Linked DNA regions of Neurospora crassa OR74A. The protein of the gene in region 2 interacts with the protein of the main gene of each other region in a biochemical or structural test. Links are inferred from orthologs where the notes say so. Each region holds a gene or a part of one and is shown on either strand. Other genes may lie near its edges.

Evidence for each region.
Region 1: the proteins of NCU09006 (region 2) and NCU03526 form a complex in vitro, tested with the Saccharomyces cerevisiae proteins (2 studies listed by BioGRID). The link is inferred for Neurospora crassa OR74A from reciprocal best matches to the Saccharomyces cerevisiae genes AOS1 and UBA2.
Region 3: of the proteins of NCU09006 (region 2) and NCU04302, one has a biochemical effect on the other in vitro, tested with the Saccharomyces cerevisiae proteins (3 studies listed by BioGRID, with this or other methods). The link is inferred for Neurospora crassa OR74A from reciprocal best matches to the Saccharomyces cerevisiae genes AOS1 and UBC9.

Annotation. Positions count from the first base shown.
Region 1 is NC_026502.1:357,219-361,402, reverse strand, and holds the start of NCU03526 (ubiquitin-activating enzyme E1 3), read right to left. Parts: upstream 2,863-4,184; 5' UTR 2,592-2,862; coding exon 2,445-2,591; intron 2,242-2,444; exon of another isoform or gene 2,183-2,241; coding exon 763-2,182; intron 691-762; coding exon 606-690; intron 559-605; coding exon 222-558; 3' UTR 66-221; coding exon of another isoform or gene 1-65. Other genes in the region: oar1 (3-oxoacyl-[acyl-carrier-protein]-reductase), read left to right, coding at 1-65; NCU03527 (hypothetical protein), read left to right, coding at 3,311-3,923, 4,068-4,184. UniProt on the Saccharomyces cerevisiae protein: The dimeric enzyme acts as a SMT3 E1 ligase. It mediates ATP-dependent activation of SMT3 and formation of a thioester with a conserved cysteine residue on AOS1.
Region 2 is NC_026503.1:4,195,462-4,199,646, reverse strand, and holds NCU09006 (NEDD8-activating enzyme E1 regulatory subunit), read right to left. Parts: upstream 2,733-4,185; 5' UTR 2,362-2,732; coding exon 2,295-2,361; intron 2,236-2,294; coding exon 869-2,235; 3' UTR 539-868; downstream 1-538. Other genes in the region: NCU09005 (hypothetical protein), read left to right, coding at 3,524-3,526, 3,783-4,185. UniProt on the Saccharomyces cerevisiae protein: Could be involved in a ubiquitin-related process important for DNA damage tolerance.
Region 3 is NC_026505.1:5,554,744-5,558,193, reverse strand, and holds NCU04302 (ubiquitin-conjugating enzyme E), read right to left. Parts: upstream 2,039-3,450; 5' UTR 1,539-2,038; coding exon 1,504-1,538; intron 1,433-1,503; coding exon 1,272-1,432; intron 1,199-1,271; coding exon 1,175-1,198; intron 1,102-1,174; coding exon 848-1,101; 3' UTR 597-847; downstream 1-596. Other genes in the region: pex19 (peroxin), read left to right, coding at 2,865-3,158, 3,217-3,450. UniProt on the Saccharomyces cerevisiae protein: E2 ubiquitin-like--protein ligase mediating SUMO/Smt3 attachment to septins and PCNA. Seems to be involved in degradation of S- (CLB5) and M-phase cyclins (CLB2).

The DNA.
Region 1 (4,184 bases), on a different chromosome or scaffold from region 2:
TTATCAAGAACCCGTATGCAAACAACTGCGTACTTAATCTTGATGGAGGGTTAAGTGCTGTCTGAAACGACACACCGCTTCCCGTGGGTATCTGTGGCTAGTAGGTATAGCAAGAATAGCAAGCAAGCCATGTGGTAATCATAGTATATACCGACCATAACTACGGCCTACGGTAGCAATAATGAACCGCGCACAAGACACGGCAAAGGGGTGATGGAAGATCAGTCATCATCAATCACGATAGCTCCCGCACTATCCTCGATAAAGACGATATCGTCATCCGCCGCCTTGTCGTTGGCCTTGATCTTCTTGACCGATGGACCCTCTGCGTCTTCGGGGTGGCCGCGCTTGAGCGACTTGGCTGGTGTCGTCATTGGCTCATCGCCATCAAGGTTTATTACTCCTCCGTTCTGGCCGTTGGATATGCTGGCACCGTTGGTGGCAGCTGTCGGCGTAGCCACTGGCTCAGGCTGTGACTGCTTCTTGGGCTTGAGTGGGATCTTGACGTCCTCTGGGTCGAGAATGCCCTTGACTGGCTTGTCACCCAGAGGCTCCTTGCTTTGAGGGTGTTAGTTACGAACATGGGAGAGAAAATGGGGACGTACGCTTCTTGGATGGCAACGACGACGTTAACGAAAGGTTCCTCATCGTCTTCGTCGGTGATGGTCAGGAATGAATCGGATTTGATGCCTGTACGATGTTAGCAATTTCCATTGCGATATGGGTAGCAGCTTCCACTGTAATCTGAGTAGCAAAACATACCCAGCTCCGAAAGCTTCTTCTCCAGATTATCCGTCTCATCCGGGTCGTACAGAATGCCAACCTCGTTACTAATAGCGAAATCCTTCTCGCCATACCCCAGATTCGTCTTGATCAAGTGTTCTACCAAATCGTTCAACGTCGCCTTCTCCAAATCGACATACGCTCTCGTCTGGTAAACACCGCAGACCGGGCAATCAGGGTTAGGCTCCCGTGACTTGTCGGACGCCAACATACGTGCATTAGCAAACGGCGTAAGGAAAACCTCCTTGGCCTGCTCGTAGTGGCCCTTCAGGACCTTGAATGCCTCCAGCACGCAAAGACCGGCGACGATGGCGTTCGTTGTCGCAATGGCAGGGATAATGTTGCCAGCCATCTGCTTAATGTCGAACTTTGACTTTCTGTCAATACCGAACACCGCTGAGCGAATGTTGGCACTCGCGGCGACAAAGTCCAGGGTATCCTCATCGTCCTTGTCAAAGGTGATGATGGATTCTTCACCGGCGCTCTTGTTCTCCAGAACCCTCTTGCTAAGTCGCTCGAGACTGTCATTGAAGACGACGAGGTTCTCTTCCAGCGACCACACCTTCTGAGCATCCTTCAAAACCTTGTCCTTGTCGAGCGACTTGGCCTTATCGAGGAGTTCCTTGTAGTTGAGTGGCTCAGGCGGCTTGCGCGTCTTCCACATGTCCTCCATTGAGCGCAACCGCTCGATATCCGTCTTGAATACCTTTTCGAAAAGCATCTGCGCGAACTCTTCTGTACCCACAGAATTCCTGATCTTTCGTAGCGCCGCCGACTCGCGTTTGAGCTCCTCGATCTCCTGCGCATTATCACCATCAACAGTATGATCGAATGCTGACTCGTCTTCGCTCGCTCCGAAAATCTCGTTGAGCAAGTAGCTCTTGCCCCACACTATACAGTGAATAGGCTGGCTCGGTGTACTGCGAATCGTGCATACGGGGAATGACTTTGGCGTCTCCTTGGGCGCGCAATCGTAGCAGGCTGTGACACCCTTTTTGATGACTTGTACCTGGCCGTTGAAGCCGGTTGTTCCACTTTCGATGAGGGGGACGTCGGCGGCAAGACACATCTTGTTGACATGGCGACGGGCTTCGAGGTTGTCGAGCGCGTTGAAGACTATCCGGAAACTGCTGAACCACTCGATATTGAACTGCGCATCTTTGATGTTCGCATGGTGGGCGACAATCTTAACGGCGGGGTTGAACTTTTGCGCAGCCTCCTTGGCTACAAGTGCCTTTGATTTTTTGATATGTTCGTGACGAAAGAGAAACTGGCGGTTGAGGTTGGAGAGATCGATGGTGTCGAGATCGACGACGTGGACTTCACCGAAGCCGGTAAGGACGAGGTTCTTGAGGAGTTCGCAGCCGATGCCGCCGGCGCCTACCATGAGCACGCGCGCCTGTGAGGTGGTCGTTAGCAGAGTCTCGGGGGTTTCTGCGGGAGCTAGCGCGAGAACCGCTTCGGCAGTCAACTGGGAAGTCATGATGGTGGTTGTGGCGCGACGAAGGCAGGAAGGAAGCGTAGATTTGGAATTGGAGGGGCGTTCGTAATGAAGTTCTATAGCAATCCGAGCGATGCCAGTTGCGACGGGGATTGCGACAGCATTGGGAGGCCTTCATTTGTTGCCGAGGAGACGACTTGGGATGAATGAAGGCACGTACCTGCTTGACATTTGCATTCAAAGACCGCCCTAATGATTGCGAATTGTAGCTGTCCCGCGTCAACACCGGCAAGGGAATAGGCTGGGCAACTGGTGCTGGTATTTGCGCCGTCATGGGGACCATGGGATTGCCCATTGCGGGATCCATGGCGAGATTTTGAGGAGGCTTGCGCCCGAGGAGCAAGAGGTGCGACCAGGCTTGAAGGTGGTTCGGGGGGTAGTATTATTTCACGTTGAGCGGGCGGTCACTGTATACCCAGGACAAGATGAAGCCCAGGGCAGAAAGAGGTGAAGAAAATTGAAGCGGAAATTGAAAAAGTTCAGCCTCGTGGATGCAAACTGAAGGCAGTCAAAAGTTGCAACCACCAGGCGCTGAATCGGCGACAGGCAGACCGGAGTTCCTTCCAGGTCAAGACTTCAGCACTTGCTGGGTGGTAGCGCGTCATAACTCCAGCGACACGCTAAAACCGATTCCGGGGTTGGCCATAGACGATCCTTCGACCGGCAGGCACACGGCAACGCAAGTGCCGCGTCTTATTGGTCGCCCTGCTGCAAGCTGCAACCACTTTGTGTTTTTGTGTTGCGGTGGGGGGGTCCACCCATACATAACCCTGAACAAGTCAACAGAGGAACATCATGCAGACAATGAAAGATTGGCTGGTCTGATTCTGAATGGTTGGAGAGAATGGAAAAACGACACAGTAGGGTGAGCAAGACGATATCGAGGATATCATATCTCTCACCGTAAAATTGACCGTTTGTTTTCCCCTCGAGCTTAGGATATCGTATTCTAGAAATCAGTCAACCCATCTCAGGGTTAACCTTGCCCCCTCGACAGTCAGTGTCAGTGCCAACCAAACTCTCAAAATGCAACCTTTCCGTTTTCCCACTCCCTCCGCCCTGACCCCCTTCCTCAGACCTCCTCTTCAACCCTTTTCTTCAAAATCCCAACACATCACTCGTTTCCTTTCAGTCCCTCTATTATTTCCTCACCTCCCTTCACCCATTTCTCTCTCTCGTCCCATCCACACCACCACCACCCCCGTGAATCGAAAAATGTCATACTCCTCCGACGAAGACCAACCCGACCCCGAGCTCCTCGAGCTCCTGCGTCAACACCTCAACGGCAACCAGTCCTCCCACACCGCCGCCGAGACGGGCGTTTTGGAGTCTGCCGAGTTCGTCTACAACCACGCCATTGACGTGGCCCTAGACATGCGCGGGTGCAAAAAGGCCGCCAACACCATCTGGGACCAGATGCAGCAGCGGGAGTACTCGCCCGCCACTTGGTCGACGCACGCGCTCCACCCCAAGGAGAAGAACGAGGAGACGGTCAAGTTCATCTTCACCATGGATCTGCTCAACTTTTCGTTTTGGAGCGAGAAGAGCGAGGAAGACCGGTTCCAGGTGGAGTACAGAGGAAAGAGGTGGACGGGGTACTGGAGTTTGGTGGCGGCGTTGCAGCGGGGGTTAGAGGAAGGTTTGTGGTCTTTCTTGTTCTTGAAGTTTTTTTTTGCTACTACTGAGGAAGATGCTGTTGGAGTTGTATCATAGTTATGTAACAAAGCAAAGAAATACAAAGGAACCCTTCATTGACACTTGTTTTTTGAATCTTCTCGTCCAGGAATCCCCATCACCGATCCCGCATTCTGGATCAATGACGAAAAATTCACCCCGGACGTCCTCCGCACCGTCTTCCGGTCCGCCACAGACGAGGAGATCCCCCTCCTCCAAGAACGAT
Region 2 (4,185 bases):
GCAAGAAGAATCTTCATCAAAATAAAGCCATAGGCCAAAAGAGCCATGACAAAGGTGCATCTGGATATACCAAATACCAAAACTACGACATAACAGATTGCATTTTTTTTTTTTTTTTTTTTTTAGTTTGCATTGCTTCACGCATAACAAAAGAAAGAGCGGAAGGGAGGAAGGAAGGAAACAACCGTGGGGAGCGTATATACCAACATTGCGCTGGATAGGATGGAGTTGTTGTCTTTGATTTGACCTTTTGGTTTTGGTTCTGGTTTTCTTTTTTTTCGGTTGCTACAAGACAGGAGTTCGGAAGCATAAAAGCATTATTGAGGTTTTGATCAAGAACCAGGGAATACAAATTTGAGAATTACTAGTTGCTTTCAGATACATCATACATTGAGATATGTATAAATGGATTGATTACATGACATTGTGGTGATCTTGTACACACCCTCTCTCACAGAACTCCTCCAACTGCCATAACGTTCTCATGAGTGAATATTGCCACACGTTACTTTCAGCAGGAACAAAGCAGAGTGGCTTCATTTTTTAAACACCCAAGTTCATATTTTCGCCAGTCTAGCTACTAGTCATCCTAACCAGCCAGATATGTGACCCTTCATCCACAGAAAACATGAGTCTGTCTGTCTGTCTAAAAAGTTGTTGCTACATTCATCATACATGTATTCTCTCGTTTGTCCGCAAGCCATTGAATTACAGTTTACCACACGAACGCCCTGCATCGCATCGTTCTAGATTCCCAAGCACACCCCAGATAGGATCCAAGCCAAGCCACAAAAAAAAAAGGGGGGGGGGGGGGGGGGAGTGAGCCAGTAATGCGAATACCTAATCGACTTGATAAGTGAAGAGAAAGTCAGGCGTTACCGGCACCAGAGCCTTGCTGCTCTTGCTGCTGTCCAGCGCCCGTGAATTGTTCAGTTGATACACCATTAGCGTGCTGCTGCTGCTGCTGTTGCTGCTGCTGTTGCTGCTGCTGTTGCTCGACACCCTCCATCTGAGACGAAGGCTGCTGCTGCTGCTGCTGCTGCTGCTGGCCGCCCCCGAGATGCTGTCCACCCAACCCCATCAAATCCGTCGTCTGTCCTTCCTTCTCCAACACCTCCGCCGCAGCTTCAATCACCCCCATCGTCACCGGCAACAGTCCTCTGCCGAGCTCTCCCTCGCGGGGATGCAACGCATACACATTCGCCTCCATGCTCTCCCCACTAAACACCACAAAGTTCTGAATCGGCTGCTGCGTCTGTCCCAGAACGTTGATCACGTCCTGCGCCAGCTGCCCGCCCAACACCGCCGCCACGGGAGCCAGCTCGGCGCCCACGTTCTGCAGGAACGATCGCAACAACTCGGCCCGCAACGTCTCCGCGGGCAGGCCGAGGGCTTTGTGCTTGTCGCTGCACATTTGCGTAAAGGCCGCGAGAGCGGTGTGGTTGGTCAAGAGTTCGGGCCCGGTGGGCGGGACGCCGAAAGTGGAGGTGAACTGCCAGAGGGCACGCAGACAGCTGAGGATAGGGGTGACGGCGCGTTTGCGGCGCGGGGAGGAGAGGATGTCTTGGGGGAGGAGGGAGGCGTCGGAGGAGGCGAGGAGCCAGGTGGAGTAGAGTTCGCGTTTGGTGACGAGCTCGATGTCGGAGTCCTTGTTGTCGGGTTCTTTGGGCGCGACGGAGACGATGGAGCGGGTTTTGGTCTCTGGACCCAAGGTGGTGGAGAGGTTGGAGCGCTGGCGCTCGATAATAAAGTCGTGCTCGATCAGGTCGGCGAAGAGGAAGCCGTAGAGACCGTGCGAGCCGGCGGCGTAGAACTTGCGGCCGTGGATGCGGGTGGCGGTGTTGATGACGTTGAGGGTGTCGGCGTCGAGGTCGGTGGCGATGATGATGTCGAACGACGAGTAGAAGGACGAATGCTTGGTCCGGATGTCGTCCGTGTCGACAATGACTTTAACGCGCGGGTTGAGACGCTGGAGGGAGGCGCTGGCGGCAATGGCGCGGTTCTGGCCGAGGTGCCCGTCCTCGGCGGACAGGAAGAATTGCGCGCCCAGGTCGGCTTCGGAGACGACGGCGTGGTCGTTGATGGTCAGGGAGCCGATACCTGCCAGGACGAGGTTCTTGGCGATCTCGTTGGCGAGGGCTTTCATGGTGATGAGAAGGATGTTGGCAGAGCGGATCTTTTCTTGGGCTTTCATGCCCCAGAGTCGAATTTGCCGGTCATAGAGGGCGATCTCATCTGTTGAGGGGGTTAGTTTCGTAACCTATCTCCAGACATAAGGAGGGTTAAGCACTTGCCTGCACTGATGCCAGCAGCCGAATGGGAAGCCTCTTGACCAGATCCGTTAGTCTCGGTGGTAGTCATGATGGACAACGACTCTTTAAGGACGACACTTTGGTTGTTGTGGCCAGGAACAAAAACGACCCCTTTGGTTATTTGCGCCAAGTGATATTTGCGCTTGTGGTTGTAGGTGGTGAAGTTGAGGTGAGAGGTGAAGGAACGCGGGCAAGCGAACGATTCGGTTCCTAGACCGAGAACTAAACTTGGAAACTTGGCGAAGAGTTGCCTTTTCTAGATTCTGACAGCAAAATAGTTAGAATTGGGTTCAAGGTTTTTTTTTGAGACCAGTGATATCAGTGCGCATGCCGTACTATTGGCCGTTCGATCTCAAGTTGAGGATGGTGGTTGGTGTTGAGATTGAGACGCGTGGTGCAAAAGTAGGTGGAAGAGGCCTGTGCATTTCGGCGGTTTTACTTGACTATCTCCATTAACAAACTGAGTAATACGTAAGATCGGACAACGGCAAACACTCGCGCTTCTTGGATCTTTTGGAATGATTTCGCTAAGGATCCAATAGATGCTACAAACGCCACCCGTTATCAAGTTTGAAATCCAGCAACCAAGGTAACTTTGCAACGAGAAGAAGAAGAAGGGAACGGAATGCACTTTGTGGTTTGGACGGGGACTTGGGGTTACACTCAGTGAACATCCATACGTATCGTAGATCCCGATGCCAAATGACGCCAGTTAAAGTGGTACTTGCACATCATGGCCACTATGGCGCCTCATCAAGTATATGCTAACAATTACACTCCCACAACGTCAGTGAAGGACAAGGTACCTATTACCCTCCATGCCAGAATAGGTACCTAGGTTCTCGGTGGATATGGATATGGATGGTGTTGGCTCGCCCAGCTGCCCGCCCGTGGTTGACTCCTCCTCTCGTCTCAGGGTGTCCCGTGCAACGGCCGGGTCTAGTGTGTACACTACAAGATGATCGGCCACTCTACAATCCTTTCCACTTTCAACACTCTTTCCTCCGTGATCATTTTGACATTTGACATTTGACCCTTGACTTTCGCCTTCTTTTTCTGCACATTTTGTTTACTTGAACCATCTCTTTTTTCAAGCGCTATTGTGCCACTCCTATCTTTCGCACGCTGGTCTGTCTTGTCCCAGCCGGGTTCTATTCCTTTTACCTCCCCGCTTGCGCCTCCCCCCCCTGGTCTTTGTGCCCTCAAGCTTCATGGTAAGTTGCCCTTTCTGATATGCGCTTCCACGGCCCCCATCCAAACCTAACATATCGCCGCGTTATCAAACCTGCCGCTTCTCTGCGCCTTCCACACGCACTGGCGCCTCGACATATGGCGTATGAGCCCAGTTCGAAGCTGTAAGCTTCTGATTTACACCCAGACCACCTCGCTGCAGGAACACATTTTCTGGTGTCTTGTTACCTGCGAGTACTACACCTTAGTACTAACTTTCATCCTTCTCTTGTACCCTAGTCCGACAGTCGACCTCTAAGGTCGCCCTGGGATTCGGAATCTCGCCAAAATAACGCCCAACCCGATGCCCTTCCGCCGAGATCTCCCACGGCGATATCCCGAGAACGATTTGAGGCTCTAGAAAGATTCCACGACCGCATCAGTCGCAACCTAGCTCTCGAACAGGCTGCCTCCAGGGTGCTCGCTCGGTCCAGGATGTCCTCCGGCTCTGACCGGTCTCTTCGCCGGCGATTCAACCAGGATTCTCAACCCTCTAGCAGCTTTTTGCCGCCTGCCATTCCAAGTTCAACTTCTTCGACCCCTACCCCACCCTTACTTCCGTCCCTTCGTTCGCTTGGCTCAAGGGTGCGACCCGGCGTGTCGGCGCCCGGAGGCCAGAACGGCCGCCCTTCCCGTTATTCGC
Region 3 (3,450 bases), on a different chromosome or scaffold from region 2:
TCATCAGCCGCCGAGCCAAGCATGTTAGCTGGCCACACAGTGGAGAGAAACGAGCAGTAGTGTGAATATTTTCATCACAGTGTGCCGGCAGATTTTGTGCCAGCTGCACAGGCTGACAAGTCCTTCCAGCTCTCCAACGTCATTGTGTCAACGGCATAAAGTCCAACTCCCTTACAAACCTTAAGTGGGGAGAAGGGGGGGGGCGGGGGGGGGGGGGGGGGACGACGGGTACCCCAGGTTTCTCCGCAAGCGGAGCGTGGCTTGCAACCTTGCCGTGAGGTTAAAAACTTCTTGACAAACTGAAGACACAGATAAAGCTAGTGATAAATCCTGTACGGAGTATCTGACTGAGACTCTGTAAACTGGGTGCCCGATATTCTAGGTTTTCCGGACGTGAACTTCCCGTGAAATAACTTTTTGCTATCTTTTCTTGAAACGCATACCTCTCCCGCCTTGGTCGAATCATCTGCGATTGAAGATGACTCTTGAGGGTTCATCCCACTGATTCCACTACTCCCCGGCCGAACTCGACCGTGAGTTTGGTAGAAGGGAGATCTAGGTCCGAGACAGCAAGTATTGAGCACAAAAGTTGGGGGAAACGGACTGATGCATCGGGCGCAGCGTCGGTAATTTTTTTTATTTTTCTTAGACTCTTGTTCCTCGATCATGAGTATATAGAGCAGCCCGAAAATTGAATCGTGCGCAGGATCGCTATCAATGAATGAACTCCCTCCAAATGCCGCCACAAACAATGAATTGGTATCCCTAAACTCCGTGTCCCAGGTCCAGCAAAACAGAACTGCTCTCTCTTTTTCACCAAGCACCCTCACATTCGTGGGTTCCCAATCTATGGGGCGGCATTCTCCCGCACGACGCGCTTGATCCGACGTTCATATTCCTGACGATCTTTCTTGAAGAGATTGTACGCCTCAGCCTGGGCTGGGGACTCGGGATTGGGGTCATTGAGCAAGTCCTGGATGCCGAGCAGGATCTGCTTCATCGTGATGGCCGGCTTCCATGCCTCTTCTTCGTTGAGGATCGAGAGACAGACCGTGCCTGATGGGTAGACATTGGGGTGGAAAAGAGGGGGGACGAATTTGCCTGCTCAGACGCCAACATGTTAGCCATGTGATCGTAGCAAGGGGGGATGGACGAGGGCTAGCTTTCGGCGTACACTTGGGGGGTTTCGTGGGATATTCTGCATGCAGGAAACGTCAAGTCAGCACGTGTATTCTTCTGACTAAAGACACCGACCGGTGCAGGGCGCATACCATCAGGGAACGTGACGGTCAACTTGAACAGACCACCCTCCCAGATTGTCTTTTCTTTGCCCGGAATACCACATTCCCAAATCTTCAAGTCGAGCACACCCTGCTGGTTCTTCTGGGGACGGGCATAGAAGCCAAAGGGATGGTCCTTTCGCCACTGCTTCCTAGAGGGAGAGAATAAGATTGTCAGTCTGCTGGACGTAGGTACACTGTTGCGCAATGCTTTGCGGCGTACCGTTCCTCTTGCAAGCGGTTCTGGCACAGCGCCATGGTGGTTGACGAGGTTGACGTTGACGGGGTTTGGCGTCGGTAAAAGTTGAGCGGTGGCTGATCAACGTGGGATTCGAGTGATCCCTTGGACAAACTGAATGCGACGACGATTCAACTTCGACGGCCGGCTTCTTGCTAATGCAATGACGGCGCCGAGAAACGTGGGGATGCGGCTGAAGAGCTGCTCGGGTTGGTCACGGGGGGGATGGGCGCGGATCAGAAGGTGGAGTGTGGGAAGGTCCTCTGCAGGTAAGAGATCCAATCCTATGGGCCACGCGATATGTAGCAGCGTGGAGTATGTACTGCGTAGTAGCCCCGCAAGGTGAGAGGTGAAGGTGATTTGGGGTTTGTAAGGCCAAAAAAGAAAAGATGAGGGTTCGAATATCTGGAGTATATGCGGGGAATGATGCGCAATCCGAATGGAACTATGTAACGAAGTGTTTCCTGGGAAGGGAACCGACTGTGACTGATGTGGTAGACTTCGAATCCTAACGAGGCTGGAGGGAAGTTTCAGTTTGCAACGAAGTGACAGCAAATCGAATGGCAGGCGACACGCTCATTCAGTTATTGCCTGCCGGGCTCGGAGTTCCTGTCGCCTCGAATCAGGAAGGCGGAGAGTGGGTGAAGTGAATGGCATGGAAGCTCTCCTCTGCTTAACTTGTACTCCGAAGCTTGTCAACGGCATTTCACATACAGTAAATGGCCCATTTCAGTGACAGCGTGTAGGCTCCAAAATGAGCTTGATCCGCAGTCACACTAGCATCAGAAGATGGGATGACAGCGAGATGCCTGTTAGTATGGACTTTAAGTGCTCAAGCAACCTGATCAAGGAATATTGTCTGAAGCTGGAGGTGGTGTCCCTCGGCACACAGCGTACCCCGGTGGGCAATGGTGGGGTAACCGCCCTGTTCAAGCAGAGATGCGGGAAAGCGCCATGAGGAGTGAGCCGAATTGCACATGCAAAGGAAAACCCCCTCGTCATCTGAACCCTTCTGGATGTCAATCTCCATCTGACTTCTCTCCCTTCCATGTTTTCTTCCACTGATCACCCTTTCTTTGAAGGTTTTGGTTCGCTATACAATTCTGGATTTGCCTATCCCAGAGAGATTTTGTATACTCTCTTGATAGACCACTCCGCCTTGCATTAGCTTGGTTTCTACCTCAAACAGACAACTTCCCGCTTTTACCTCTCTCAAAGAGGTCGTGCTTCAGCGTGGGGTCAACCTTTTGCCCGAGCATCTGCTTCGTCTGTCGGAACGAGGCGCATCCACGACCGATCGACGTCTTTGCGATTTACACAACATTCTTACACACTCATACCGCACAATGGCTTCGAATAACGCCGGCGCAAAGGAGGAGGTGCCCAGGAAGGCCACCGTGGCCGACGAGTTCGACGATGACGTGTCCGACCCGGATGAGGATGACCTGGATGACCTGGATGACATGCTCGATGAGTTCGCCGCAGTAGACCTTCAAGCCAAGAAGCCTTCGGGGCCAGCAAGGCCAGACGCCGCTGGGGCAGATGGTGCCAAGGGGGAAGATGATGTCCTGTCCGAAGAGGAGTTTGCGAAGCAGCTGCAGGCCGGCATGGCTGATCTCCTCGGTGACATCGAGAACTCGGTAGGCGCAAACAATCGCAATATCCCAATTTCTGCGGCTCTAGCTAACTCTGAGCCAGCCTGAGCTACAAGCCCAGTTCGAGAGCATATTCAAGGAGCTAGGCGCCGCCGCCGCTGCCTCGGGTGCCGAAACACCTGGTATTCCCACCCCAAAGGCCGAGACTTCGACCAAGACTCCTCCGTCTTCTTCCCGCAGAGCCTCGGCCGCGGCCTCACCATCGAGCAAGAATGCCGAAGCTTCCTTTCAAGAGACCATCCGACGGACCATGGAGCGCATGCAGACATCTGGCGAG